Linked DNA regions of Coturnix japonica. The protein of the gene in region 2 binds, or shares a complex with, the protein of the main gene of each other region. Links are inferred from orthologs where the notes say so. Each region holds a gene or a part of one and is shown on either strand. Other genes may lie near its edges.

Region 1 (4,857 bases), about 120 Mb from region 2:
TACTATATTCACATCAGGAATAAGAAAATGTATGTTGAAAAACCTGAATGAAGGTTCTTTAACAATGTAAGAAATGTCACTAAAGCAAATGAACAGTGTTCTGCTATTCAAGCTAAATCAACAGCATAAAGACAGATGGTAAGTTACCTAGCGTGACTCAAATACATTGCTTGGCGTCGGATATCTTCTGAGTCAATTTCCACAGGATTTATTAGAGCAAGCTGATCAATAGACCACCTAAATTTTCCTGGTGTCTGAAAAAAAAAGAAATAGTCACGTGAATACTTGCTGGTCTGATAATGTTTTTTTAAAAAAGGCAACTAATTCAGACTTTTTTTTTTGTCTTGATGGTGGAATTAAAATTAATTATGAGATAATATTAAGCAAAAGAGTACTACAAACAATTAATAACTGAAGTGTCATGTTATTCCCCCTCCATTTCTGAGAACAGGCCTACTACAGATCTGAAACATGGGATTAAGTTTAGTTGCTTCTCCATGGCCACAATGAAAACTGTGGCTCCCTGAAAGCACTTCAATAATCATCCAAGCCAGGATATCGAAATAATACAGCAACCTTCCTTTTACTTTACATTTCAAAGGAGACAGAGGACAGTCTAGAAGCAGGCCACAAAGGGCACTGTCAGGCATAGATCATAAGATCCAGTTTGGGAACAAAGCAGTCTCATCCATTGAAGTAGCACTTCAGTACAAAATAGTGAGCAAGTAGCACTTAGAAAAACGATCTAACAAAACACTGTCTTTTTAATCTCATTATCAAGGTGCGAAGACCAAATTACAGCGTTAGCATTAAAAGAAGCTTACTGAGGTAAATGAAAGAACCACAAAACACCCCAAGTTCTTTGGGTTTGCATACATTAAATCAAGTAAATACACTGTGTTACGTGTTTTTATGTGTCGGCACTACATAGAACAGAAAATGAGCTCTTACAGATGAAGATTTTGTTGATTTGAAGACGGAAGGACTGGAGACAATCTGCTCCTGAAGGGTGCAATAATCGCTGGGGCTTTCGAAAGGATTCAGAACTGTGACCCGCCCAGGAGTTTCGGGGCTGATCTGCATTTGGGCTTCTTCTGTATCGCCCATAGCAGTGAAGCTGTGCCTGGGGAAGAGAAACAGAAGGAAATGTGAGGGGAGGAAATTACCATTCTGACTCGTTAGGGTCATTCTAAGAATTTCAACCCATGACCGGTCATTCAGAAGAGACAGAAAACTCATAACGGCAAAGCAGATTTTGGCTTGGACCAGTGAGAAGCAGATAAACGAGGCTGGTACAAAGACGGAGCCTAGAAAGCAAAGCCAAAGGAAACGAGGTACTGGAAACCAGCATGGAGGAAACCAATCGCGTTCGTGCCAGGTGCTCCCGTACCGAACGGCGGGGCCTCAGAGGAGTTGTCAGCCCCACAGCGAGGCGGCTCCCCGCTCCTCACAGGCCGAGGAACGCACACAGCGAGCAGCAGAGGCCTAAAGCCACGTATTCACGGGACAGCTGTACCAAGGGCCGCCACCACGCCACCACCCCCCCACTCCTCAGGCCCAGCTACCGAAGCCCCGCTGCCGCGACGCGCACTCATACCCGACTCCAATTAAAACTGCCCGCCTCCGCCGAGCCGGGCGGCTCTTTAACCACCTCCCGCCCCTTCCCGAATTCTGCCCAATCAACGCGCGCCGCAGCCGCCGGCGAACCAATCGTAGGCTCCCCTCCGCTCACGAACGGGCCAATCGCATGCAGAGCCGCTGCACAAATTCGAACGTTAGCCCGCCCCCCACCTTCCTGCTGTGAGCGGGAGGTTCCGCTTGGGCCTGGTGCGGAGTCCCGGAATCACGTGAGGTTGGGGTCGCTCCTTCTGCTTCCGGGTGGGCGGTCGCCATGGCGAGCAATGCCGCCAGCCTCAACGCCGTGAGGGAGACGATGGACGGTACGAGGGAGGGGCGGGAGGGGCCAGTGGGGTTGGGGATGCGGCACTTGTTTGTAGATACATTGGTTTGCTTGAGGTTCCATAACTGCCACTTCCATGCTGTACAGTAGAAATTCAGCTTTGATTAATAACTTCTTTGATCGCTGTTGGGGCTAATTTGCTTTCTTTTTCCTTGCAGTTCTGTTTGAGATTTCAAGAATATTAAATACTGGGTTGGATATGGAGACCTTGTCTATTTGTGTGCGGCTTTGTGAGCAAGGCATCAACCCAGAAGCACTGTCTTCTGTCATTAAAGAACTGCGTAAGGCTACAGAAGCTCTAAAGGTAATGCCATTCCCTAAAAAGCACACGGTTTTAAAAGAATCAAATCTTTGGTTCAATTTGCTGTGCTTCTTTTCCTTTAAAATTAAGAAAAAAATCAACAAAACAGATTTCTCTTCTTGGTGCTTTCAGCCACTATTTCCCTTTATCTGCTTCATGTCCTGACTGGACTGTAGCTTTCTTCTTCAGCCCATATCAGCTCCTTATACACCCTCAGGCCTCATAGTATGTATCACAGAATTATCAAGGTTGGAAAAAGACCTAGAAGATCATCCAGTCCAACCATTACCAATACTTCCCAGCTAAATCATATTCATCAACACAACATCCAAATGTTTCTTGAACACTCCCATGGTTGGTGACTCCACCACCTCCCTGGCAGTGCATTCCAATGCCTGACTACCCTTTCTGTAGCAACACTTGTGAACAAGTTCATGAAGCTGTTGTGGCTAACAGTCTCCACACATTGCTGTCACCTCATTAACCTGTGCTTTACGTCTCTCCAAAGACAAATCACAGCATTTCATGGTGTGTGTGCATTGTAAGTACTAAAGTATAAAAAGCCACATGTAACTATTTGGTTAATAGGGAAAATAACTATAGTTAAAAAATTCTCATTTGCCCTTTAAAGGATTTTGATGCTTTGCTGTCTACCTAACCATCATGATTCCTTCTCCACTACATCTTATGTTGTTTATTTATCTGTTTTTGAAGGCTATGTTCTGATTCTTAAAGAACTCAGCTTTCAGATTTTACAATCAGACTTTTTTTTTGCATAATTTAAATTTTTATTTTATTTTTTTATAATTTCAAACTCTTCTATACTTGTGTGTATTTTTTATTTGTGTATGTGCTTAAATGTGTGTACACAAGCTTAATTGTGCATATACATTGTTGAGGGATGTTCTATTTCTTTTCTATTTTTTATGTCTTACTTGTGTTGCTTTCATTTCTCTTTTTATCTCATATCTGGGCTTCAAATCTACAACATAAATGATGTCTGCTTTTGGTGACAAATTTTTTTTTTTCCCTAGGCTGCTGAAAATATGACAAGCTGATGTGATAGAATCCTTCTTCATGAGAAGAGTTCGAAGTTGTAGAGCTGATAAAGAATTTGAACATTGGCTGCTACTTAGAAATACGAAGTCAAATTATATCTGGAGGTTTCAGAGTATCTCTAAGTCATCTTGAAAAAGGCAATGTATGGAAGAGCTTAAAGTTGGGTTTTCTTAAATAGGCCCACCAGTAATCTTACCACACTTGAATACTTGGTTATTTTTATGAACCAGGGGTGAATTTTAGTGTAACTGCCCTTCAGCATGTAGGATTTTTAAACAGTGTCAGAGATTGAAGGTTTGCTGAAATTACTAGTGTGTAACAGTGAATGTTATCACGAATATGGCTTGTTAACGCATTCTTTAGAAGTGCTATTGTGTTCTGTTTATTCCTGTTGTACTAGTGTGAAAATATGTGGATGCTTTTATCTGTGGTAAAGGTAGGAAAGAAGTCCCTATTGAGCTGATTTTAATTAGAGTACAGATGATGACTTAAATGACTTAAGTCATGTTCTGAAAGTAAGAAATAAAGCACTTTTGATTATCAAGATAATGACTTGTCCTTCTAATTCTGTTGGAAAAAGAGTTTTTAACTTGTTTTAGAAAGGAATTTGGATGTATGTAAATTTGACATGTAGATAACGTGGAATATCAAATGCTGTTTGCGTATGTTCTGAACACTCAACCTGAAAATATTAAGCATATATTGTTAATTACTAGTCAAAGCATCTTACAAGTAGGGGCTGATTTAGTTGTGTTAAACAGTCACTTGGTGTAGGGGAGTCTTCTCCTTCAGCACAAACAATATCCACTGATGCAAAAACAAATCTTTCTAGTGTATGCATTAAGCTACTGAACAAATTATCATTCAGTGAATCTTTTGCATCCAGGAGTTATGCTTCTTCATAGGAAGAAAATTTTCTTGTGTTTGTCCTCTGCTGCTGTTTTAGCTTTTCCAATTTTTTGTTAGACTGTTTTCTAAGTAGTGGTGTTAATAGAACCCAAAGCAGGCTGACAGGGGAAGCACACGTAATAAAGATTCAAGGTTCATCTTTTGTGCGGACGGAAAAGTTCTTTTGAGTTTACATCACACATTACTCTATCTGGGTCACAGCTTTAGAAAACATGATAAATATCTTTTATTTCCTATTACTCTGGCCAAGAAATCACTCCAGAAAGGTGTAGAATCTGTGTTAAAACTTCTGAATACTGTGTGTAATGTTTTCAAAAGTATTAAAGAATCTACTGTATGGAAAGATTGACAATAAATGTATCCTAGAAAAATGTGAGAAATCAGCAAAGACTGAAAATGTTAAAATACTTAAAACAAATAAGCAGTTGGTTATTTCACGTTTAACTGGACTCAGTGCTGCATGTCAAAACCAGAAAAGTATTCTTGCAGTGTTGACAGGTTGTCATTTGTTTCTGAAGAGAATTGCGGAACTAAAATTTAAACAGCAAATGTATCCTCAATGCTTCTGAAATTAGAGTGCTTGTGCATTGGCAGTGTATTTTTCAGTTCCCAGATGTTTAGGTAATAT
Region 2 (4,356 bases):
TTCATTTGCTACAGACATCTCCTTTACAATGAGATGAAATGCACCTTAGAGGTCTGAGGTCATATTTCCGGTACAGACTCAATAAATCACGTATGATCCTGTCTATTTTTGAGAAATACTGTAATTGTAACTGAAAAACTTAAAACAGAAAATCTGTTATCACCGTAGGAAATGAAGCACCAGCTCCGCCACTGATCCCCAGGGCTGTTGTTCCTATGCCACAGAGTTCAGCCAGATATCTAAAAAACAGTATTAAATCATATGTAAGAATTTCAGACAGAAGTCTCTGAAATCACAGTGAACTGGACTTTGCTATAGCTGAAATTCACACAACCCTACGGTATTATCTGAATAGCAACAAGGATAACGAAGTAACTGAATGTAAAGACTTTACATGTTTTTCCAAGGGAACATAAAGAAATCTTGATGTGAAATTGCTGGAAGAATACCGAAAAATTATGTAAGAATGGCTGCCTAATACTCTCCTGTTTTGTAAAGGAAAAAAACAGACTGTAGTTTGTGTTTTATGGAAAGCTTAAATATTTAATGTTATTCTCTTACCTCAACTGACGGCCCAGTTTCCTGAAGAGAAAGCTGATGGTCAGAAGACTTAAAGTAGGAGGAGTAGACAAAACACAGGCTCGGTAATACTGAAGATACTTCCTCAGACCACTTGTGAAAGCCTATTGTCAACAGAAAATATTTACAAAGCCTTACTGGTAAAGCTGTTAATAGTTACTTATATCTCACATCAGTTGAACCGGCATGAAAATGAGCCTTTAATAAAATAATCTGCATGTAAAAGTAAGAGGGGCTCGTGTAGGAAAGTAAGAGTCCACATAACTTCAGGCATACAATTAACCAAATGACTCCTTTATACTCTTCCTACATGCTATGCACAAAGCCTGCACCCAGGCACACAATGAGCATTTTGGTTCACCTTCCTTGAACTGCCCTTTTGAAGGCATTCTGATTTTCTAGCAGCTTCATTATGAACCCAGGGAAACCTGTTTCCTTACTTCCATTCCTAAATTATGCAGTGGAAAAAGCTCCTATAAAAACATCTACTTTTTCCAGCATGACTTAGAATTAAATAAGACTTTTCTGTTCAATTTCTATTGACGTAACTGTAAATGAAATATTCAGGAGGCATATATTTTCATAACTAATCCTAAAAGAACTATATGCATTAGAAAGAGAAATGTACCTGGTATCATGCAGCTACACACAGTTCAGAAAAATATAAAGAGGGTTGACAAGTAAAATGTGCGCTTAATTCTGATCTAAGAAAAGTTATTAAAGCTATTAAATAGCATGTTTCTCTATTTTAGTATCAATGTAATGTATGCAATGTTATTTATATGCATACCGTATTAAGAAAGGTATTATATTTTATATATACATGTTATATATATATAAATGTTATACATTTTAACATATAAATGCTTCTAAATTCTGCCCCTTTAGATCTCAACAAAACCACACAACAAATCACAGTTCAAGTAATGAAGAGCTTTCATTTGTTGCTTTGGGGCAGACAAACCCTAAGCAACCACAGCTCCAATTTAAACAGGGCTCCACGGTGTCACTGTCCCTTGCTGACCCAGGATACATAAATACACATATTTGTATTGAAAATACTTCGCAGTTCTGCAGAAGGAAGAAATTCCAGCCTTATATGAAATCAAAGTTGTGTTCTCTGCCTAAAATAACTGGCCCATCAAACGTAAGTGATTTGACACAATGGTGCTACCTGAAACACAAGCCCTTTGCTGTACGAAGAATCTAAGACTGGCTGAAGGGAGAAGCGACTCAGCCGTGTGTAGTAGGTTCCATATTCCGCAACTTCTGAGAGCAGGTTGTGCATCGTCTCCGGCGAAGTTCCAGACACATAAACCCCCTCCTTTATTATAAATGTTTGAGCAGCCTAAAATGAAACAGGAGAGGAAAGCAAATAGGCTTCAAATATTACCCAGCTGCATTCTGATTTAAAACAGCAAACGTTTAGAGACAAATCTTCAGCATAGGTACTCTGGTAAATCATACTATATATGTAGGAAAATATAATAAGAGTATTAAATTGTAGCAAAACTTCAAAAGTGCATTTTCAAGTATGTCAAAAAAGATTAATTATAACAATTTTTCATGAAAACCCAGCCTACAACATTATTCAAACTTCTGTTTTCTGTAATTAGCTCATTTTTGCTAATTATTTTGACAAATACTTGTTCCCTGCCTATAAGTCGTTATTACAATGTACAGATGTGACGTTATCGCAATTAAGTCACACTTATCCTCTTAACACAACTGTGAGATCTCAAAATAAATCATGTATTGAAAAGGAGGTATCTAAGAAAAAAAAGAAAAAGCAAATGCAACTGAGAATTGCAGTTAAATACATTTCATACCTGGTTGAGTGAAAATGTAGTGGATACCACACCAATGAGGACATTCAAGACATCCTTCACCAGTTCAGGTTCCCTCATCAGCACAAGCTGTGGAAGCTGAAGTACGGTACTACTGAAAAGCTGCATTTCCCCCTCTCGGAGCTTGTAGAACTTGTCAAAAGCTTCTCTCCCAGCCTCAGTAAGGTACGGCTCCTCCTTCTTACCAGGTGGGCTGCCAGAGTAAACAAAATATTGGAAGGTGATTATGTGAGAAATAGATCTACCGCTTCCTAGCAGGGATTACCATCCCCTCCAAAACAAATTTCCCATCCAACTCTTCCAAACTCTTCACAGTTCTAGCAGTATTTCTTACAGGAAAGCTTCAGGTATATGGTCTGCATTTGACTTTTAAGGGTTTAATTCTTCTAGCAATTTCTCTTCTGAATCTGAAAAGATGAAATCATGTTAGGTTGAAATAAATTGCATTGTGTATGCAATGTTGCATTTCACATGATCAGAAAGTGTTGCCATAACTCCTTCAGTTTTTAGGTCTAAGATAATTTTTTCTTCCCATGAAACAGATGCAATCTAAAGGCTGGTTCGCTGAAATGGCATGATCTCAATCATTAATACATATATTGAATTCTACATATTAAATATGCATTAAATAGGAATACTGCATATTCCTATTGCATATTTAACTCCTATACTGAGGTCATTCAGAACTAAGATGAATTGCACCTTCATACATTCACATGTGAAGCACAGGAAGTTTGCCAATAACATCAGATACATACTATCCAATTCTTTCCCAGCATCTTCTTTTGCTTGGCCCATATGTAAGCACTGCATCCCACAGATCTATGTCTGGAGTCATGCTTGGCTCTGACTGAGAATCAGGAGTCAGATTGGATGCCGACTGGAATCCTTCATCTTCTGACTGGTCTATGCTTTGAGGAACCTGTCAGAGAGAGTTCAAGCTTTACGTATGAAAACATTACTAGAGAAACATATGCTGATAAAGATTTTGCTATTATTTGTGATCAAGTGACTCAATACGACTCAGCCAGTGCCCACTCCTTTCATCTCTAAGTTTCTCCTTTAAATGTTCCTTCACTTGTTCCATTTTCAAAGGCACCAATGCCTAAATATAAAACAACAATCAATCACCGCTGAAATAATAACACTAAGTTTCTTAATGTTAAAACTGAAACTTACTCCTCTGTATGCATGCAGTTCTAAGAAGAATAAAATGGCACTGCTCAGAAAGTCTTTTAAGCAGATTATTAATGATAACTCTTACAATTTGTACAAATGTTGTTAACACTTTGTTCTCTGATGCTTATTCAGATGCAGAAAACCCGTAAGTGTCCAGGCACTGCGTGTGCCACACTCTGATCTCAGGAGTTGTACATGAAGAACGGCACCCAGGCTTAATAAGATTATGATATCCACACAAAAAACACAGCATGTTCTTCAACAAATCTCAAATCCCAGTCTGATGGAGAGTACAGCACCTAGCAAGGAACATTTGCCTCCTCACAGTTAAGACTTACATCTGTACACGCACAGGGCTTTTTTAATGTCTGAACGCCAGTTTCAGTTAGGACGCTGAGTTAAGGAATTGCAAGAGGTATCCGTATGGTAAGTAGAGAGAACAGAGGAGGAGTAAAAAAAAAGGGAGTAAAAAACTTTCCAACAGTAACAAATGGAAAGATAGAAAGAAAAAAAACCACAGGTGCATTTATCTAGTACCTCTATAAGAATACTATGTAGCAAAAATGAATATATTGGACAGTAGAAGATGCAGTATAAACTACACTGCAAAGGTAAAAGGACAGCAGGACACAGGAGGTTTGATGAAATATAATAGTTGAAAAAAATGGCTCAAGATACAAAAGTCACAAGGAAAATACACGTTGGGTCACGTAATCTGAAGAGCAAATCATGCACACTCTGGCAGGAAAGC
Region 3 (5,116 bases), on a different chromosome or scaffold from region 2:
GTGCACCTTGCAAATACACAAACCTGAGTACATTTCTCCTCTAAAATATGTATGTATATAGAGATTGATAGATATGTAAGTACACCAAAACGCAGCGGTATCGATCAGAACTACTGAATGATTTTCACGTGAAGAGGAGCTACTTACATTATGACTTCACAGCTGACAAAAGAGGTACCCAGAGAAAAAAGGGGAGAAAACGAGACTGAAGAAAAGATTTCTTCATGTCTATTCATAACATAATAAATAGGGAGGTAAAAATTAAGGAAACATTAAAACTCAGCAGTGTTAAACCAGATAGAATCACACAAATTCAGATGCTGGTCAAAGGAAGCTGAATGCTCAGGAGCTGAATGCTCAGGAGCACTGCTGAGCAGAAGGGATCTTCTCCTCCTGTGTATTCTCTGCTGCCCAGTGCTCTCAGCTGAACAGCAGCACACGAGGTGCCCGGGCCTTGATGCAGTTAACCTGGGTTTATTAAGAATACACATAACAACCCTGAGGAAAAACACATTTTCCCATTTAGTCAGAACTAAATAGGAAGAGTTACGGAACTCATTTATCCAAGATGTTTAAGCCTTATCCGCTGTGTCAGCAACAGGGTTTAGTTCCCTATTCAATTTTGCTGTCTTTCACTACATTCTATTCTATAGGCCCTTGATGCCCTGTAGAAATTGAGATGGAATTACCCTGGTTGAATAAGTCCATATATTCTACACACACATACACAAGTAATATATGTAAACACTTTTATATAAATATATATAAACGCAATTATTGCATACACATATAGTTGCAAAACATATTTCTATATCCAACAGCTGCCTGGGACACCGAGCTGTGTGCACGCTGTCTGCAGGACTCTCCATGAAAACCTGAGAAGAAGCAACAGAAAAGGAGGAGCCCAAATCCTGACCGGTCCCGTTACAGTCACAACCTGTGCACGGCAGAGCCACAGGCTGCCAGAACAGCAGGTGAGCACTTACTCTTTGGAGGCAAACAAGCAATCTCACCACTCAGAGCTACAGTATCTTACCTAACACCATCCAACAGATGGGTAACACTCACCAACAAGGAATTCCAACAGCACGTCGCTATTTAAGTGGGTTTGATTCACTGCCAACATTTGGGTGACTTTGCTTTCCCAAACATCAGCCTCCTCCCACCTGCAGCGCTGACAAACAGCTGCTCCTTCTGCTTCACAAACTCCACATCCTGCCCTGGTGGAAAGGAAGGCACCTGGAACCCTCACCTTTGTGTGTGAAGGAATGCCACTAAAAGCTTCATTTTGGTTACAAAAGACCGGTACGTTTACATTCAAAATGTCTCCGACAGGTTAAATACATTATATAGACATTTACACAAATAAGAGCACCAGCAGGGGAAGGATGGAATCGGGCCGAGCCCCGCCGTCCGCTCCCACCCACTCGAGGGCCCGGCTGGCGGCTCCTCAGGGCTGTTCTGGGCCCGTCCTGCCCCAGCCCCGCTGAGACCCGCCCCGCTCTCCCCCAGCCCCGCTCGCCCATAACCCCTCTCTCCCATAGCCCCGCTCTCCCATAGGCCCGCTCTCCCATAGGCCCGCTCTCCCATAGCCCCGCTCTCCCATAGCCCCGCTCTCCCATAGCCCCTCTCTCCCATAGCCCCTCTCTCCCATAGCCCCGCTCTCCCCCAGCCCCGCTCTCCCCCAGCCCCGCTCTCCCCCAGCCCCGCTCTCCCATAACCCCTCTCTCTGCTGCGCCCGCTGAGACCCGCCCCGCTCGGCGGCCTCGCGCACCCGATTCCCGCCGGCTGCAGAGCCGCCCCCGCCGCTCGCGGGGCATCGCGCAGGCGCGCCCTTCCCGGCGGCCGTTGCGCTGCGCGGCGCTGCCCGGCGGCGCGATGATCCACGAGCTGCTGCTGGCGCTCAGCGGGTTCCCGGGCGCGGTCTTCACCTGGAGCAAGCGCGGCGGGCTGCAGGTGCGGCCCCTCCGCTCCCCTCTTCTCGCCTTTCGCTTCTTCGCTCCTTCACCGCTCCCTTTTCTCGCAGGTGTCTCAGGAATTGCCTTTCCTGCACCCCAGCGAGACCAGCGTCCTGAACCGCCTCTGCCGCCTCGGTACCGACTACATCCGCTTCGTCGAATTCGTGGAGCAGTACACGGGACACGTCCAGCAGCAGGTCGGGCACTGTCGGTGCAGCGCTGCGCCAGCACAAACTCACTGTCCTGAGCAGGGATCTGTCAGGTTCTGTGTGGTGTAAATGAGCGAGGGTGCACAACTGCCTGTGTTGAAAGACATGATGGAGTGCGGAAATCTCATTCCTAGGGGAAGGGAACGTCATGTGGTAATTTCTGGTCCCCGCGGTTCAGCAGGAGATGGTGAAGTGCCCAGGGACTCAGGAGGCATTCGTTCATAAACACAGCAGTGCTGCAGCACGCACAGGCTGCTGACCGTTCCTGACTCCTGCAATCATCCACAGAAGAGCTAAACAGCTCCGTTCGTTTTGTTTTCTTGGTCGTTTTATGGTTGTTGAAGGTGCATTTCAGAGCGTTGTGACCATTGGCTGCTGATGTAGTGTTGCAGGAAGCTCCATTACTCATCAGACCTGTGCTGAGGGCCTGCTTTTATTGTTCTGTTTCAGGACCATCACCTATCTCAGCAAAACCAGAGTGGATTGCATGGCATTTATTTGCGAGCATTCTGCACAGGCCTAGATTCAGTGCTGCAGCCGTATCGACAGGCACTGCTTGACCTGGAACAAGAGGTAAAGGAGAGAGACTTAGGGCAAGAGGCTGTTTGCCGCTGGCACATTGTGGAAGCTTGTCATTTCTGCCGTTACTGTACTGATAAGTGGTAGTAGTTAAAGAGACAACAAGATAGTTTCCTTTCCACTTTGGGAATGGCTTTCAAATTACTCCTGTGAGATGCTATTGTAAATGACTGTTTATTTAATAAGCTGTCATTCCCTTCCACATACAATTCAATAAGTGCCCCATCAGCCTCAGCCTGGTGCTGTTTCTCACTACCATGACTTCAGTTTTCAGTTGCAGAGGTTCTGATAAAGTCCTCGGGACTTAGCAGATGTTCTGTCTTAGGTACTGTCATCATCCAGTGGTTTCATTAAAAGTTACATATGGGACATAGCGTGATACGAAACATAGAGCCAAACTTGCCTTTTTACTTATCTATGCCATTTTCTAATTTTCATTAATTGCTTTGTTGTCCTTACAGTTTCTGGCTGACCCACATCTTTCCATCTCACATGTTAATTATTCCTTGGACCAGGTAATGCTGATGAACCTGTTCATGCTAATGGTTACTCTTATCATTTTGTAACACATCTAATGAGAATGTGAATGGTGTAAACAAGGTTTAGTCTTTCATCTTACGTCATTTCTCCTCAACATCTCCAAATTTATAGTCCTGTAATCATACTTAGAGGGTCACTTGCACTTTGACACAACACATGGGTCCTCCTCCTTTACCCTGGCATAGTTCTCTCAACTTCTGTTTATTCTGAACTGCAGCTGGAATACAGTGTTTGAATAACCCTTGGTCCAGGTGAGGATGGACATTGTTTCCAGTGATTTTTCAGGTCACTGACTAGTTTCCAGCTAGAGTGGAAAGCATACTAACAGCTTGCTTAAACTACTGTAATTACCTGTTGTCCACACTTACTTAAGAGTAACAGTTCTCTCCCTTGTGCTGCAGTTTCAGTTACTCTTCCCATCTGTGATGGTTGTGGTGGAACAGATCAAAACTCAGAAGGTATGGTAAAATTTTAGCTAGTCTCTCTTAGCAAGTTTCCTCTATAGCTGATAAAGTATTTTGTGCCTTTATCCCAGAACTGAATGCTAGGAAAGAATCTGGTTTCAGTTAGTGTAAGTATTGAATGCTTTACAGATCTCTTTACACTCAGTTTGACTATTTCCTCATTATTAGCAAGATGCATTTTGTAATCACAACATGCTTCAAACTACAAGATGCTGCTAGTTGGAATTTCTTCTTTTCTGATTCTATTTTCTTCTATTCTTGAATTAAAAAAGGAAAAGGAGTAGCTAATGTTTCCAAAGTCCTTGGAGGTTTAGTTTTCATCTAGGGAAGCTTTTGAGAGACGCTTACATAGAAGACTTCTTTCTACACTACGCAGAGTATGTTTAATCTTTTTCTATCAGACTTCTGCGGTTCTTGTTAGCTGAAAATGTAGCATTTAAATCCTTGAAAAGGTCAGTACAGATCCAAGCAACAGTCCTAGTCTAACCACTTTTTCTTTCTGTAGATTCATGGATGTCAGATACTAGAAACTGTCCACAAACATAGCTGTGGGGGGTTGCCTCCTGTTCGCAGTGCTCTTGAAAAGTAGGTAGATGCAACAAAACTATTTTGTTTGTACTTAACACCTGACAGTAGTATCGGAGTGTTTTCTTACTTGTGAAAGCAGATGATGCTGCTCGAATCAGACCTGCATGATTTAAAAGGGCAAACTGTCACAGTCTCCTTTATTTATCTAAAACAGATTCATGGCAGGAAGTAAAGCTTTCTCCATATTTTGTACTTTTGAGGATCCCACTAGGGCATCTTTTAGGGCTGAAGTCTAAACAAAATGTCTTGGATACAGCAGACATTGTTGTTTTTATTCATCCTTTAGAAAATAAAATAAATTTCACTGTGTATCGATGTAATGTAAGTATCACATTGCCTGTCTGATGAGCTGGAGTTTCCAGAATGATGTACAATGAGGTTTTGATTACTGTGTGCGATGGACCCACTGTCTGTTTCTTTTGATTTCAGGATTCTGGCTGTGTGTCATGGAGTCATGTATAAGCAGCTCTCTGCCTGGATGCTGCATGGATTGCTACTAGACCAACATGAAGAGTTCTTTATCAAACAGGGCCCTTCTGAGAGTGTCTCTGGCCAACCCGAAGATGATGATGATGACCTCGGAATTGGAGGACTTACGGGAAAACAGCTGCGAGAGCTGCAGGACCTGGTAAGACTGCAAGTTGCAGCTTGGCATCTTCAGTCATCAAGTAACTGAGAGGAAGTACTGCTTCAGTGCAAATGATACAAATGATCAGTCATTCTTGAGACCCCATGTACTGGGTCTGGCTGGGGCGGAGTTAAATCCTGTGCTTTGCAC
Region 4 (4,356 bases), about 57 Mb from region 2:
GCTTAAGTCTGGACTACAAATGAAGAAAAAGAGATGTGAAAAGTTGCATTACAGATGACAGTTACTGCGACTTGGCTCAGACTTGCAGCCTGTTACTTGAAATATATTGAGGTAATTTCTTTCAGAAAGGGGAGCTGCTTGAAGTGAGCAAAATCATGGAGACCATTAAATTTCAGGAGATTGTTTCCAAATGGGAATCTTTAAGTCTCTGTGCATCTCTGCTTTGATTATGAGCTTTGTACGCGGACTGGGAGGTCAGCAGTATTACTTGCTTTCAGCTGCCTGTCCATCTGAAGAGCTTATCCTTCTCCTCAAATTACAGCATCAGAATATGCTACGCACAAGGATTTGGAGCAAGCCAAGACCAAACCTGCACTTCTGAACTGGAATTTTGAAGTTGCAGTTGGAAGATAACAGCTAAACTTGAAAACTCTCATAGATTCTTCTAGCTGTTTTCATGTAGAAAAAAACAGTGAAGGCAGCAAGAGTTTGCACGAGGTGTGGTTTGAGAAAAAGGAGGGAGGAGAGTGGGCTGTCTAGCACAGGAAGTGGGAAGGTGAAAAGCCAAAGTGATGTTTCACAGGTGGATGGAACGTGGGCCTGTACTGCAGACCCTGAAACTGAGCACTAACTAGCAGCATGGCTGTGGCGATGTAAAGCTTGGAGAGGGCCATCATCCTGTGTTAATGATGAATATTCTGGCATTTAGCCTGCAGCATCAGCTGTGCTGTCTCTGTACTTAGGTACTGTGACTAAATAACAGCTGCAGTATGGATACTTTGTGTGCTTGCTGGCCTTTGTTTACCTGACAAGATACAGAGCCCTCCTCATTATGGAAATCCCTTGCTATGAGAGAAGGCAATGCTAGTAACTGGAGTTCTCCCTGAGGGAAGTGCATGACAATACTCAGTTATCAAAGGGAAAAGAGTATGAGAAAGCATGTTTTAATCTAGAGGGGTTGTGCTGCCTATTTGAATTGTAACATTTGTGGATACTGAGTAGAAACCAGATTATGCAATATGCTGTTGTTAACTGTCATCAAACACTAGCTCCAATAAGGAAATAAGTTTCAATGAAGCAGATAAATTGTTTATTTATGCTTTAAAACCAGATTTCGTTACCCAACATACACACTCAAGCTGAACTGCAAGATCAAAGCAATGTAACAGTGAACAGCTTGTCAAGTGGCTGTTTCTGCTGTTTGTTTCCCAACCTGAGAATGTGGAGCCCATCAGTGACCTTGAAAATCTTAGTTACAGGTTGCAGTGATAACTTCCTTCCCAGATCAGGACTGTGAAGAGGAGTCGATTATACCTCTGACCATGCTCAGTATGACAAAGTTAAATGTAAGAGTGCTGCTCCAAAAGTAATGCCTCCTGTGATATTGTGTGAGATGGTGGTGGAGGCTGAACCTTCACAGCAGTATTCCCTCACATGCTGTTTCCACGTGGCAGATGGCAGAAGAGGGGCAGTCTGACAAAGTGGCATCTGACATGGGAATGCAGATGAAGCAAAGGTGTGTCATATTGAATTCCTCCATGCAGGAAAAAATAGCACCCAGAGACATTCACTGATGCTTACTGAGTGTTTCTGGGAACCAAACAGCAGATGTGGGCCAAGTAAGATGGCAGGTGGTTACATTTCAACACTGGTGACAACAATAGTGGGTCACTTCCACTGGTGCAGTTTTGGATGGGAGTGGCATGCAGGGTCTGGTTTATCACTGGTGAAAATGCACAGCTAGTGGAAGTAACTGTTAAAAAGCAGAGAAGATTCTCAGGTACAAATACTATCAAATAATGTTATTGTACTCTTTGTATCTATTGCAGTTTCTGTTGAAATAAATAGGAGGCATTACTTCTGGAGCAGTGTATGGGTATGAATTCTTTTACTGGGTATGAATGCCCCATACATTTTCCAACTTGGGAAGGCATTATGTGTAGAAAAATGTTGATGAATGATAGTTTGTGGTTCTCAGGGTTTATATATACGTGCGAGTGTGCGTGTATATATATATGCACATATAAATGCCTGTGCATATATAAAGCTGTGTCTGTTTACTCTTCCAGAAAAGAAGCAGCTGATTTCTACGTAGACCATCAATCAAGACCTTTTTATAAGTAGGTACATTGTTTTTTTAACTTGATGCATATATTTATTGTTCTGCAACAGCAACTGATTTATTGTGGGTCCAAACTCAAGCCCTTCAGTGAGACATAAGTACAGGCTATGTCTGACCATGATGGAGATCAGGAGATCTAGAACTCCATTTTCTTTGCTGAATAATTATGTTTGAATATGTTGATTTGCAAGCAAGAGTTTTGCCTGTGCTGTTATTTCACAGATGTCTGTCTACACAACTTGTAGTTATCTGTGGGACCTTAAGCTTTTGTCCATGCCTGCTTGGTCTTTCCTTCTAGAGTGTTATTCACTACATCTTCTATATAGGATTCTTCTCAAATTTAGAAACAATTATAAATCATTTCAAATCAATGAGAACAAAAGTTGTCCTCAGAGCAGAGCCTACAAAGTTAGGTTAGGTTGTTCATAGGCTTTGCTGAGTTGAGTTTTGAACATCTCTACTGGATTGCATATTTTCGTTGGCTTTAATTTACAGCCTGGATCACCATATGCTGTTTCCATTTTGCAGTGAGCTTCTCCAGTTTATAACAAGTGGTCCTGTTGTTGCTATGGAAATCTTACGGGATGATGCAATTTGTAAGTGGAAGACATTATTGGGGCCTGCAAATTCTGCAGTTGCTCGAACTGATGAACCGGAAAGCATCAGAGCAAACTTCGGACATGATGGCCTAAAAAATGCAGCTCATGGCCCAGATTCAGTAGCCTCAGCCGCTCGAGTAAGTTTTTGACTGTGTCACTTAACTAGTTTTCTTATTAATTTAATTCGATAACACTACTAGATCAGGAATTCCTCATTTCTTTTTTTCCCGTTTGAGTTCAGAATGAATAGGTATTCTATGTTGCTCCTTTTTAGCCTGCAAAAATAGACTGTCTGGAAACAGGAATCTTGTTTATCTTTGTCATAAACGGAAGTTTTGGATACTTTGATCAGGAGAACATGCCTAGTCTTCGAAAAACTCTGCTCCCATTATGCATAACAAATATTTATGAAGGCAGACCATTTTGTATTGCTTTGTGTTCTGAAAGGTAATACAGCAGGCCTGGCTTCTAGGAGTTCTCTTTTACTTTGTAGTCTGTATTTTCTTAGAGTGTTAAGAAAGCCCTAGGGCTGGGTGATTAAATATTACCAGCATTTCTATAGAACAGAGGTGTTTATGTTCACTGATGGGGGTAGATCTGCTGATAAGCAATGGCTAGAATAAAGTTTACCTAACAGTTGTTTGGTACTGCACTGTATTATCTTAGCTTTAGACTAGCAGGGAAAAGATAACTGTTGCCTTCTGGATCCCAGTCTTTTCCTCTTCTTACACTGGAACAGCTGCAGTAGCACAGCTTGAAAGAGACCAGTTCTGGGATAACTTATAAACTACCAGCTACTGTGTACTAGACGACGATGTGCTAGCAATCAGGGTAGAGTCAGCCCCTTGCTGCAGCTGCTGTGTCCTTGCTCAGCACTGTGAGGCCTGGGCATTGTTTAAGCACCATGCTCAGGTGTCTGAGTGGTACCTGGTCTACGGGCTTCTCTGCTTGACTGTAGTTTTAATAAGTTACTTTCCAGACATGGAATACTTCTTGTGGTGGCAAGTCTAGTGGAAGTGGTACCTATCTAGAAAGAGTTTGGATAAAGTTGAATTTTTATAAAGGAGAATTTCAGTCAGAAAAGTCTTTAATTCTGGCAGTTGACCAATGTCTTTGTGCTCAAATGGGGAGGTTTCTCTTCGTTTGTGTGCTGCAGTTACTGTTGTGCCAGCTTTTTGCCTGAGAGTGTAGGAGACAGTATCTATTAACGTAAGATTCTGACTATAAATTTAATTATTTGCTTTGGTTTAAGTTGGTAGCTCTTTTTACATTTCAGCAGTTTGAAGGCTCTGCTCATCTGTGGTATTTTTATGACCAACATTATTATATTGCTGAACTTTGGCAGATGTAGGCATCCTTGTGGTGTTACCAATACCCATCTCTGGTAAGATAACTGAAATTGTGAATTTAATAGGCCTCTACCTACTTTAATGTAGTAGGTGCAGAACTATATATTTGTATAGCAGCTGGAAACTAGTTGGTTGCAGTTAGAACAGGACATTGCAGTGACAAATGAAAGTAGGCCTCTGGTGTACTTCTAAGGTTATTTCTCTTTCTGCAGGACCATTTTTAATTTTTTTTTTTTCATATTAGGCATAAATAAAAAATACTTTCTTTTTAAAACATCACTTGAAT
Region 5 (5,156 bases), about 99 Mb from region 2:
CCAGGCCATGGGCACAGCGTGGGCAGCCAGATCCCACAGGGAGCTCCCACAGATGCTTCCTTCACGCGTTGTAAGAGTGATACAACAGAACCAGATGTGTTTGATGCTCCGGTAGGGGTGATGCCTGCAGTCTCTGTTTTTATCAGTGATACAAGTTTTAAGTACTTACAACTGCTGGTACATCAGTTTCACGTCCATTAGGCCTTGGAGCTTGATGCCGTCCCACAAGGACGACGAAGGTGTCCCTACGAAACACCTCAGAACTCCTAGAAGAGCATCCCTGCTGTTCCCTCAACGCTTGGCGTCCATCCTTAACGCCCCTTCAGATCAGGTGCTCACATCTCGGCGCTCTCTTCGCCCCTCGCTGCCGTACGGTCCCCATCCATCCCCTACCGCCTCTCCCCGGCACTGAGCGGATAGGCGAGCAGGCTCATGGCCTCGCCGCACGCCGCCTCCACCTGCCGCACCTGCTGGCGGCTCAGCCTTTCCCTCCATGCGTGCACGGCCTCCCGAGCGTCGCGGGCGGAGATGAGGAAAGGTCGCTCGGAGGAGTAGGCGGCACCTCGGGTCATGTTGACTACGAACGCCTCCATGGCGGGCGGCACGGGCAGGCCGGCGAAGCGCAGCAGGCGGCGCAGCTGAGCTCGGGGCTCCCGCACCAGGTCCTCGTAGCGGAGCTGCGTGTAGCGGCGGCGCAGGGCGGCGGGGTTGCGGCGGGCCAGCAGCAGGTCTCGGAGCCACGCCTGGCAGATCACCTCCAGCGCTCCGCCGAGGAACAGCTCGGCGCGGTGCTGCGCGGGGGCCCGCCCGGCGCCCAGCAGCCCCAGGCCGGGCGGGAGCGGGGGCTGCTGCGGGCGGGGCGGCCCGCGGGGCTCGGCGGCGCGGTGCCGGCTGCGCAGCACCTGGATGCTCTCGCGGAGCAGCGCCTGCTTGGCCTTCAGGCGAGAGTTGTGGACGGCGCGGGGGTCGCGGAAGAGCTGCACCACGCGCAGGTTGAGGCCGGGCTCCCGCAGCAGCGGCAGCAGCGCGCCCAGCTCCAGCAGCCGCACGTCCTTGATGACCACCACCGGGTACTTGCGGCACTCGGCCTCCAGCTCCCGCAGCGCCCGCGGCGGGCAGCGCCTCTCGCAGGCGGCGCCGTCCACCAGGCCGATCTCCCGGCGGGGCAGCGGCGCGGCGGGGCAGAGCGGAGCCGAGCAGATGACCTTGTTGGTCCGCCAGCCGAAGATGCCGGCCGTGGTCAGGTTGGCGGCGGGCGGAGCGGCGCCCAGCGGGTCGCGGGGGGCGGCCGGGGCGGCGTAGAGGCGCAGCACGGAGAAGTCGCAGCGGAAGAGGGAGCGCAGCATGTCGCGCAGGGCGCCCTGCAGGCTCAGCGCGTCTCCGGGGTACAGCGCCTGCCACAGGTGCCACATGGGCTCGTAGAGGTAGAAGACGTCGGGGTGCTGGTTGAACAGCTCCCCCAGGAACGACGAGCCCGTGCGCCATGTGGCATGCAGGTAGATGTGCCGCTTGCCCGCCCCGCTGCCGTTCCCCGCCGCCGTCGCCTCCTCCTCCTCCTCCTCGTCGTCTCCGGGCGGCGGCGGGCGCTGCTCCCAGCCCCACTCGCTCAGCGCCTCCTCCAGGCTGGGGCAGCGCCGCAGCAGCGGCTCCTCGTCCGCTCTCGCCCGCCTGGCTCCGTAGTCCAGCACGTAGGGCACCAGCAGCAGCAGCAGCAGCGTGTAGAGCGCCAGCAGCAGCGCCAAGCGCCGGTGCTCCCCCCGCCAGCACCACCGCCGACGGCCCTTCATGGCGGGGGGCAGCGGCCCGACAGCGAGCGGCAGCCGCCGAACCGGCTCTCGGGGAAGGAGGCGAACGAACGCTGGGCGGCGGGGGGGTGGGCTCGGGGCGGCCCTCCCGCAGGGAGCACGCCCACGGGCAGCCCGGACACGGCCGCCGCCTCACGGCGCAGCGTGGAACCGCCGCACCTGCCCCCGCCGACACGCTGCCCCGACCTCGGGGCTGTGCCGAGCCGACGGGAGACTCCGCGTTGCTGCTTCTCCACCCCAACGCCCGCCCAGCACAGGGGGAGTGTCGGCCGGAGCCGAGGGGGCGGGCTGGGAACTGCGGGCTCCGTGAGCTGTCCGGAGAGAGAACGAGCCGCAGCGATGGGAAGAGTGAGAATGGCTGTTTAGAGGCGGCACTGAGTAAACGGCAGCTATTCCAGGCTGCTGTGGGTTTCAGAATCACAGAATCACAGAATGACCCGGGTTGGAAGGGACCTCAAGGATCATGTAGTTCCAACCCCCCTGCCTATCTGTCCCCCTCCTCTGCTTAACTACCTGGGGACACGGTTCTACCTCCTCATGCTCAGGGTGTCGCGTCTTTTAGGCTTCTAAGAGCAGATTAAATACATCTCTTCATCCGAGATGGGAGTCAATGAAAGGTTGACTTCGTGCATGCAGCTGGGGGTTGGAGCAGCTGATCTCCAGAGATGTTCTCCTTTCCAACCCCTGCAGTTCTGTGTTTGGAGTGCTTAAATTCCAACGCTCGGTATCAAAATGCACAGCACACCTGCAGGTGCTCACAGGTGGATCCCAATCCCGTGTTCCCATGCAGGGTCACCAACCAGCAGACCAGGCTGCCCAGAGCCACATCCAGCCTGGCCTTGAATGCCTCCAGGGATGGGGCATCCACAGCCTCCTTGGGCAGCCTGTTCCAGTGCATCAGTGCCCCTATGTTAAACTTCCTCCTAATATCTAACCCAAACCTGCCCTGTCTCAGTTTAAAACCATTCCCCCTTGTATTATCACTATCCACCCTCATTAACAGCCGTTCCCCCTCCTGTTTAAATGCTTCCTTCAAGTACTGGAAGGCCACAATGAGGTCTCTCTGGAGCCTTCTCTTCTCCAAGCTAAACAAATCCATTTCCCTCAACCTTTCTTCATAGGAGTGATGCTCCAGCCCTCTGTTCACCTTAGTGGCCCTCCTTACTTCAGATATATTGGGTAACATAAGAGGGATACAAAGTGATGCAGAAGAAAAAGCATGTGTCTGCCCTGCCCATGTGGGGAGCCAGCCGCCTGCCTGCTAACACTCTCTTTGACCTCTGCAAAACGAGTGTTTAAGACTCGGCTTCCTGCAGTTTATGGTGTGCTGAGTGAGGAGATGGAGACAACTCGACTCCTGGGTTCCAGAACAGAATAATGTACAAAAATCTGAAGGGAAATTCTGCCCCAACATATATTTCCCTATTTAGGTTCACTGTGGCTTTGGGCTTTTTAAATGGTGTTTAAAGGGAGGCGATCTTCCCCCATTAACCTTTTTTTTCCCCCTGTGATTCATAAAGACACTATTTAAATAGATGATCTTCATTTTCTTCCAAGAGCATGATAACTCGGTGTGTGAGAAAGGCAGACATTCTTTGTTCATACACGAAGCAGCCTGGCTGGCATCTGACTTCTGCCATTTCTTGGTGCAAATTCTCTGTTTCATGCTATCTTATAAAGAAAAAGAGGGACAAAATCGACACGTTCTGCATAGTTTAGTGTAGCAATATTTCCATTCTGGTTTCCAAGTTTGTCGCTGAAAGCACTGGCTGTTTTTAACCTGATATAGCATCGGCTTCCTGTGTATTATCTCTCTAACTTGATTTTTGCTCTTCCATCTCCCACAGCTCTTTCAGCTGACAAGAAAGCCTGTAAATGTTGGAACGCAGTGCTTCAGCCCCAGAATCATTTTTATCATCTCAGCAGAGGTTTTAAAATAGAACTAGTTCCCTCTGTATCTGTTCATTTTTTGGATCGTGCCTGCTCTTGTCATTTTCAAAGAGCACTTTGTGATCAAAAATAGGCTTGATTATCTGATAAAATTAAACGTGCTTTGCAAGAGGAGCATTGGCCTCACACATCCTGGCTGCTAATGAACACCGTGCTTGCAAACACTGTCATTACAGACTTCAGCCAAAAGGAAGCCCGTGGTTAATGACGGCTTTCAAAGCTTAAAGCAGCCAACAAGCTCGGACAACTTTTGTTTTGTGTAACTGTTTTTCACTTTTTTGGAGGTTCTTAGTCATCGGGGGTTTCAACACGTGAGGCAGTACGTGCTTTGCATACAGGACCGGTCCTAATAGGTCACAGTTAGGAAGGAGTGCGTTGAGAGTAGCAGGATGCCTGGTGCCATAGAACCAGGTGGGTAAGCACTTGGTTTGCTGCAGTAGCGGAATTTCCCTAAAGCAGAATAGAGGCAGAGCCTGCGGGAGGCCTGAAATACTGCAGGGCGTTGGGGAGACTGGGTGGAGAACTAGAAGAGATACTGAAAGTGGAAAGTGAGAGAAAAGGGGCAGTGGAAAGGTGAAGAGACTGTAGCAAAGGGCTACAGTATGGCGGAGAACCAGTAGAGTTATAAAGAGAGCTTTTAAAAAAGAAAAATGATGATTCCTTTTCTGACATCAACAATCTTGTGAGCTCCTCTTACTTCCTGTAAGAAAGGAAGGAAGATAATGTCCTCACTGAAAGTGATAGGAGATGGAAATACAACAAATACTAGGAAATACAACAAGGAAATGCAGGAGGCAGAAGGCAAAACAAAGTAAGATGTGTATTGGTGGAGGTTCAACAGGAAAGTCAAAGGAGGAACGTGTTTGGGGTCTCAGCACTAAAATGGATCTGATACCATAATTGATAATGGCAGAAACCAGAAATCTCTTTCTGTTTTCTCTCAGTGTTGCAGACACGCTGTTGCTGAATTAGAGATGCTGATGAAGAATAACAGCAAGTTTTTGCAGCTTGAGTTAAACCATTGTGTCTGTATAATTAGGGAACCAAATCTTGTACAGTTCAGTCAAGCAAAAAATTGAGACTATTTTTAACAGGGGATTTATTTTTTTTTCCCCAAAAAATTCCTCTGACAGCTACTGCTACAAAAAACGTGTAGGTCTTCTGTGCTTTGTAACTCAACACTTGCATGGACGGAGTATAACATATATCAGGCATTTGGTAACCGCACTTTGCGTAGTCAGAACTGAAGTGGCAGTAAGAAGTAAAGGTTGCAGTAGGTATTGGCACCTTGGCAGAAAACAACTGAGGAGGACACCATGCTTACAGTAATTTGCTCTGAAGGGTGGACTCCTTAAATTTGCCCAGGCCAGTTCTTCATGTGCAAACCTGAATTATCAGGCT
Region 6 (4,356 bases), about 110 Mb from region 2:
AAAGTACTTCTGTAAACACTATTATGCCACAAAAAGCTGTAGCTCCCAATAGCTATCTTCTATTTTTTACAGAGTAAATGTAGTTAGGTCAGAAGTCAACCTTGAGCCAGTACAGATACTCAAATAATTCTATATTCTCTACAGAAAAACACAATCGAAAATTCCCAAGGATACAGAGCCACTACACTTAAGAGCTTTCCTGTTTCTGCTCAAACAGTTGCTTCTCTACTATTGGTCTCTTCTGTTCTTAGCTAAACAAAAGAAAAAGAAACAGATAATGGTAAAACTAGTAAATTTGGAAGTGTGCATGTGGAAGACTTAGTACTCCCAGCACAAGACAAAAGGAAATAGAGGGTACATATGGAAAGTCATCAAGGAAGATGAATAAAAGGAGATGAAAGAGTAACGGTCACTTTCCAGAGACATGGTTTTTTTCATTTCCTCATTGCTACAAAAACTTGTAATCAAGGATTAGGTTAAACAAGCAGGAAAATTCCATACACAATAAAACTACTTCATCTTCACTATCTACCATTAAACAATCAGTCAAAACCAGCAAGAAAATATAAACTTCACTTGTCACAACTGATTTTTTGTCCATTTTAAAATCAGTTACAGTAATCTAAACCCAGTTTACGAGTATTTCATCCATTTAGACCTCTCACCTGGCATACTTTTCAAAAGCTTTGCATTGCACATGTGTCCTTTCCATATATCGGTAAGAATGTACTCCATTCGCTTCGCTCTCCAAAGGAAATTAAATACTCTTAAATAGTGGCTCATGCACTCACGTGTAAACACCTACAAAACAAACAAAATATCAGTACAAACAATAGATCTCACGTGTTCTGAAGAACCAATAGCATCTTCACAGTTCATCTACTCTGACCCACGCAGTTTATTGTTAAACATCAGCAGAACAAAAACAGCTCTTAGGAAAATGTTCCCTCAAGGACTGAGCTGAGCTATCCAGCATTCAAGCACCAAGCACTGCTGACAGCAGAGCTGCAGCACTCTATGTTTGAGTACTCTGGAGTATGGTCCACAGTACACTTCAGCTGTGTCTTCTTACAGCACTGTTGCATTTAAGCTTATTCTAGTTTAACACAAAAAAGATTCCTGCATTATCAGTATTGCCACACTGCATTCTTAAGAAGACTGAAGGAAAATGGAGCAGAAATGCATTAAAATTTATCTGTTCTGCATAAAAGAGTCTTCTATTTAAGTACACTGAAATAAACATAAGTAATTCTTAGAACTGCTCTAATGCTTTTGCCAGTTCCAATTCCTTGTACAAATGTATTTGTTGTTCTACCAGATTGGCAACTGAAAAAACTTGAACCTGTAATTGCTTCTTGAGAGGTTTTCTTCACTTTCAATCTCATGTGCACAGAAGTGTAAGAAAGGGTGAATACGACAAAGATTGCTCTTCAAACTCCATATGTATGTAACAGTTCATTCACATTTCAGTGTTACAACATTTTTACAGAGACTAAATGCATTCTGATCAATACTGCTGCTGATTGTATCAAGAGAATTATTTCCTCAGTAGTTCTTGTGAACACTATCTATCAAATTTAATTTAGTAAGTACAAATAAGTTCTCCTCAGATACATTCTCCAGTTCCTGGCAAATTACCTCAAAGTAGCTGCTACAGACTCATAACAATAGTCTAAGAGGAGCAGCACTCCATTTATTAAGTACCCGTCAAAATCTCTGCTAGAACAAATAAACTACTGATTTTCAGTAACTAATGTTTTGAACGTGGTTTTTCAGCACTCCCTGTTAATTTATAAGAACTGAGGTTTTGGCTCAGATGTTTATACAGTGGATACATCCCTGATGCTGAGGGGAAAAAAAAAAATAAAAAAATAAAAAAAATAGGAGTCTTTCTGATATAAAACACTCCAGAGTAAAAAGGTTATTTCAATAACAAAATGTTTAGCAATCCAGCTCAGCATCTGAGACATGTTCACAACCAGCAGTATATGACATTACCGTTGCTATTGGTCCGTCAACATGATAGTCCAAACTGAAGACATCCCATCCAGTGTCCCCAGGAGATACCTGTATTGAAAAGATGTGTAAACTTTAGTGCCTAATCAGAGAATGCTAGTGCAGAAGAGCTGCTTCTTCTTCTCTTATGATGAAATATGAAAAGCTAATATGAAAAAGCAAGTGACCACAATACATGACATAGGAGTTCATTGTCAAGAGTAGTAGATTAAGCAAAAATTAACTTATGTTTTACACAATGGTGGGATTCACCTCACCCAGTTGCTGATGTTCATGCTGCCAGTGGTTTTTTTTCCATTGAAACTAGTAAAATAAATGAAGGGGAGACTTCTCAGGCAGGACTTTGCCTAACGAACAGGCTTGCTTCAGTTGCCTGAGTTCAGACAGTTCCCACCACTGGGAACTGTCTCCAGTTCTGGCTGGAACTTCCTCATCAACTCAAGTTTCTTAGTAGAGGTCTCCTTCATGAGATGCAATTTCATTTCTCCACTCTTCCTCACCACCAGTGACTACTGGTGAGAAAGAAGACCACTCCAAGACCTGCTTGCAGAACCCCAAATCAGGGCCATCTACATCAAGTACTTGACCTTATTTTGCCAGTGAAATGGCTGTGCAATCACAATTCAAAATATAAACAGACAATGGGCAGGAGATGGGAAGAGAAGGCTCAAGTGAGGTTCACATATTTCAAAGTGGGCTTCAATGGAAAAAGGGGAGGACAATAATATTTACTATATGTGTTTATCAAAATTTTATTTTACATAGATGTCTGTATACACAAACACTAAATGTATTTTCATTCACTTATGTTTCAGGTCAGAGTCACCATGGTGCAACAAACCTCCAGAAGTCGTACATCCAATCGTTTGAGAATCTCAGGATTATCGAACTGTGCATTAGTTGCCCTCACTGCTGTTTCAAGAATTCCTGTTAGGTTATGCTGGTACAAGGTTGTGGCTGGTCGTGCAAGCTCAGGTCTGAAAGTTAAGAAACAGAAAAGCCATGGCAGACTTCTTAGATATTCTGTAGCAGCAACTGGTTCTAACTGCAGAATGCAGTGAAATAGTTTCCTGAAAATTCGAAACCTCTTATGTTACTCTTTCAATGTTAACCACAAAGAAAATCAATCAACAGAATATTTATAACTGTTTGTATGTGTGCAGCTATACACCTGAACACCAGCATGAGGAGTAAGATTATCCTGATTCAATGCCAGTCGTTTCAAGTTACTAGCACTGCTATAACAACAGTTCTGAAAACTCAGCTGCATAGGCAGATTGACTCATCAACATGTCAGAACATTAATTCTGTTTCACAGTTTTGATACACGTACTGATAGGCATCTCATGGGCTTAGAACTGCTGACAGAAACATGTAAACCCACTCCCCCTGTGAAACCTTCCAAGGACAGCAACATGCAAGCTTTGCAATCCTCTCCCTCGTGACCAGTGCTGGAAAGTCCCTCTCTACTCCTGCCTCAAACGTTATACTGACTCCCATGCACCAATGTTGTTCTGCTTCACACTATTTTCCACTTAAAAAAGCAAGGTTATGTACAAAGAAGTTGATGGAAGCTTTATTAGAAAGCCTGCCTTTCAGAACAAAGGAAAGCTTTGTTAAGGACATTTCTGGTAGACTAAGTTTCATTAGTAACACCAGCATGAAAAAGCAGCCAGCTTGCAAAAACACTTTATGAACTTAAACTTCAAGGTATGCTTGAATGCTTAAAACAGAGATTGGTGAGGCATCAATTAAATAAAATAGAAAGGAACTAAGGATGCTTTGGACCAAACGCATCCAAAACATAGAAGACTAATGCTCAGAGCAATACTCACTAGAGGTGTCAAGAGCTCCAGAAACTGAACTTTGCTACTTAAACTTGCTGACAGGAACAAGCAAAGTACAAACATCTCTGAGCCTCTCACAGGCTTGATGTAAAGGTACACTAATATAGTTTTTCAAGTCATTATGAAATAATATAGAATATACTTCCTACCAAAAAGAACAACATTTCAGCCCTCGCGGTCAAGGAAACTCAAGTCAAAATAGGATTTCAAAGTTGTTCAGGTAAAACTTTGAGTAATAATTAAAGCGCCATCTTCTGACAGCAAAGTAGTACTGATCATGCATACTTGGGAGCATCAGAAATTCACCATAATTACCCTTCTTATTCTTACTTGAGCAAATCCATTAAATGTCTGATAAAGTCTCCCTGACCGAGTAGTAAGTAACGCCTCATGGCCTGCATATGTTCCAGTAAGTTGTACTTCTTATTGAGAACATCCAGTAAGTATTTGCTGGTCTCAAAATAAGCCGCATCAATTTTCTCTTGGAATGCAT

What was found.
Region 1: the proteins of TUBGCP6 (region 2) and MZT1 are in contact, whole or in part, in a crystal structure (PDB 6M33), measured with the Homo sapiens proteins. The link is inferred for Coturnix japonica from reciprocal best matches to the Homo sapiens genes TUBGCP6 and MZT1. Residues at the interface, in NP_065194.3 of Homo sapiens: Met1, Ala2, Ile4, Leu7, Phe8, Asp10, Leu11, Cys12, Ala14, Leu15, Pro17, Ala33, Leu37, Val40, Ala41, Ala44, Leu45, Asn48, Ile70, Leu73, Lys85, Arg88, Leu89, Leu92, Val93, Glu95, Leu96, Leu104, Leu105, Ser109; in NP_001065243.1 of Homo sapiens: Asn17, Ala20, Val21, Thr24, Val27, Leu28, Glu30, Ile31, Ser32, Ile34, Leu35, Asn36, Thr37, Leu39, Glu42, Thr43, Leu44, Ile46, Cys47, Arg49, Leu50, Cys51, Glu52, Gln53, Ile55, Asn56, Pro57, Glu58, Ala59, Leu60.
Region 3: the proteins of TUBGCP6 (region 2) and TUBGCP4 are in contact, whole or in part, in a cryo-EM structure (PDB 7QJE), measured with the Homo sapiens proteins. The link is inferred for Coturnix japonica from reciprocal best matches to the Homo sapiens genes TUBGCP6 and TUBGCP4. Residues at the interface, in NP_065194.3 of Homo sapiens: Leu312, Thr313, Ala315, Gly316, Arg317, Ala319, Phe320, Phe323, Leu326, His327, Glu349, Pro390, Glu391, Ser392, Ser395, Leu396, Glu399, Tyr403, Ser455, Leu456, Leu457, Thr458, Gly460, Phe461, Lys464, Lys465, Arg468, Arg471, Tyr472, Glu475; in NP_001273343.1 of Homo sapiens: Met1, Ile2, His3, Glu4, Leu6, Leu7, Ser10, Gly11, Tyr12, Pro13, Gly14, Ser15, Ile16, Gln29, Phe31, Pro32, Phe33, Leu34, His35, Pro36, Glu38, Thr56, Ile59, Glu60, Thr63, Val66, Gln67, Gln68, Ile84, Arg87.
Region 4: TUBGCP6 (region 2) and NME7 share a complex: the UniProt entries of both Homo sapiens proteins name them as parts of the gamma-tubulin ring complex. The link is inferred for Coturnix japonica from reciprocal best matches to the Homo sapiens genes TUBGCP6 and NME7.
Region 5: the proteins of TUBGCP6 (region 2) and TUBGCP5 are in contact, whole or in part, in a cryo-EM structure (PDB 7QJE), measured with the Homo sapiens proteins. The link is inferred for Coturnix japonica from reciprocal best matches to the Homo sapiens genes TUBGCP6 and TUBGCP5. Residues at the interface, in NP_065194.3 of Homo sapiens: Glu290, Ala291, Ser292, Lys293, Arg294, Arg295, Cys296, Trp297, Glu298, Arg299, Val300, Gly301, Cys302, Pro303, Pro304, His306, Arg307, Glu308, Glu309, Pro310, Tyr311, Leu312, Glu314, Lys322, Arg325, Leu326; in NP_443135.3 of Homo sapiens: Asp211, Asp212, Arg213, Trp215, Leu216, His219, Val220, Val221, His222, Trp225, Ser230, Phe232, Pro233, His234, Leu238, His239, Ser240, Asn241, Leu242, Leu264, Val265, Thr266, Glu267, Thr268, Gln269, Arg272, Val302, Thr303, His304, Leu305.
Region 6: the proteins of TUBGCP6 (region 2) and TUBGCP3 are in contact, whole or in part, in a cryo-EM structure (PDB 6X0U), measured with the Homo sapiens proteins. The link is inferred for Coturnix japonica from reciprocal best matches to the Homo sapiens genes TUBGCP6 and TUBGCP3. Residues at the interface, in NP_065194.3 of Homo sapiens: Pro65, Arg67, Asn68, Leu71, Met72, Ser74, Phe75, Asp76, Arg78, Asp87, Glu90, Asp151; in NP_006313.1 of Homo sapiens: Pro9, Asn10, Val11, Leu13, Gln14, Glu25, Ala26, Ala29, Gln30, Phe32, Gln33, Val36, Arg37, Ile39, Gly40, Ser41, Phe43, Thr129.

The regions. Positions count from the first base shown.
Region 1 is NC_029516.1:140,208,402-140,213,258, forward strand, and holds the start of MZT1 (mitotic-spindle organizing protein 1), read left to right. Parts: upstream 1-1,790; 5' UTR 1,791-1,891; coding exon 1,892-1,940; intron 1,941-2,118; coding exon 2,119-2,264; intron 2,265-3,295; coding exon 3,296-3,319; 3' UTR 3,320-4,857. Other genes in the region: BORA (protein aurora borealis), read right to left, coding at 148-254, 952-1,107. UniProt on the Homo sapiens protein: Required for the recruitment and the assembly of the gamma-tubulin ring complex (gTuRC) at the centrosome.
Region 2 is NC_029516.1:18,133,093-18,137,448, forward strand, and holds part of TUBGCP6 (gamma-tubulin complex component 6), read right to left. Parts: intron 3,349-4,356; coding exon 3,185-3,348; intron 2,620-3,184; coding exon 2,409-2,619; intron 1,928-2,408; coding exon 1,754-1,927; intron 684-1,753; coding exon 562-683; intron 240-561; coding exon 164-239; intron 1-163. UniProt on the Homo sapiens protein: Component of the gamma-tubulin ring complex (gTuRC) which mediates microtubule nucleation.
Region 3 is NC_029525.1:18,427,070-18,432,185, reverse strand, and holds the start of TUBGCP4 (gamma-tubulin complex component 4), read left to right. Parts: upstream 1-1,821; 5' UTR 1,822-1,878; coding exon 1,879-1,956; intron 1,957-2,026; coding exon 2,027-2,155; intron 2,156-2,617; coding exon 2,618-2,740; intron 2,741-3,207; coding exon 3,208-3,261; intron 3,262-3,687; coding exon 3,688-3,744; intron 3,745-4,255; coding exon 4,256-4,335; intron 4,336-4,767; coding exon 4,768-4,966; intron 4,967-5,116. UniProt on the Homo sapiens protein: Component of the gamma-tubulin ring complex (gTuRC) which mediates microtubule nucleation.
Region 4 is NC_029516.1:74,983,578-74,987,933, forward strand, and holds part of NME7 (nucleoside diphosphate kinase 7), read left to right. Parts: intron 1-2,069; coding exon 2,070-2,120; intron 2,121-2,650; coding exon 2,651-2,858; intron 2,859-4,356. UniProt on the Homo sapiens protein: Possesses an intrinsic kinase activity. Displays 3'-5' exonuclease activity with a preference for single-stranded DNA. Does not seem to have nucleoside diphosphate kinase activity.
Region 5 is NC_029516.1:117,432,205-117,437,360, forward strand, and holds the start of TUBGCP5 (gamma-tubulin complex component 5), read left to right. Parts: upstream 1-1,785; coding exon 1,786-2,111; intron 2,112-5,156. Other genes in the region: CHST7 (carbohydrate sulfotransferase 7), read right to left, coding at 390-1,787. UniProt on the Homo sapiens protein: Component of the gamma-tubulin ring complex (gTuRC) which mediates microtubule nucleation.
Region 6 is NC_029516.1:124,271,039-124,275,394, reverse strand, and holds part of TUBGCP3 (gamma-tubulin complex component 3), read right to left. Parts: coding exon 4,194-4,356; intron 2,994-4,193; coding exon 2,858-2,993; intron 2,068-2,857; coding exon 1,999-2,067; intron 802-1,998; coding exon 666-801; intron 1-665. UniProt on the Homo sapiens protein: Component of the gamma-tubulin ring complex (gTuRC) which mediates microtubule nucleation.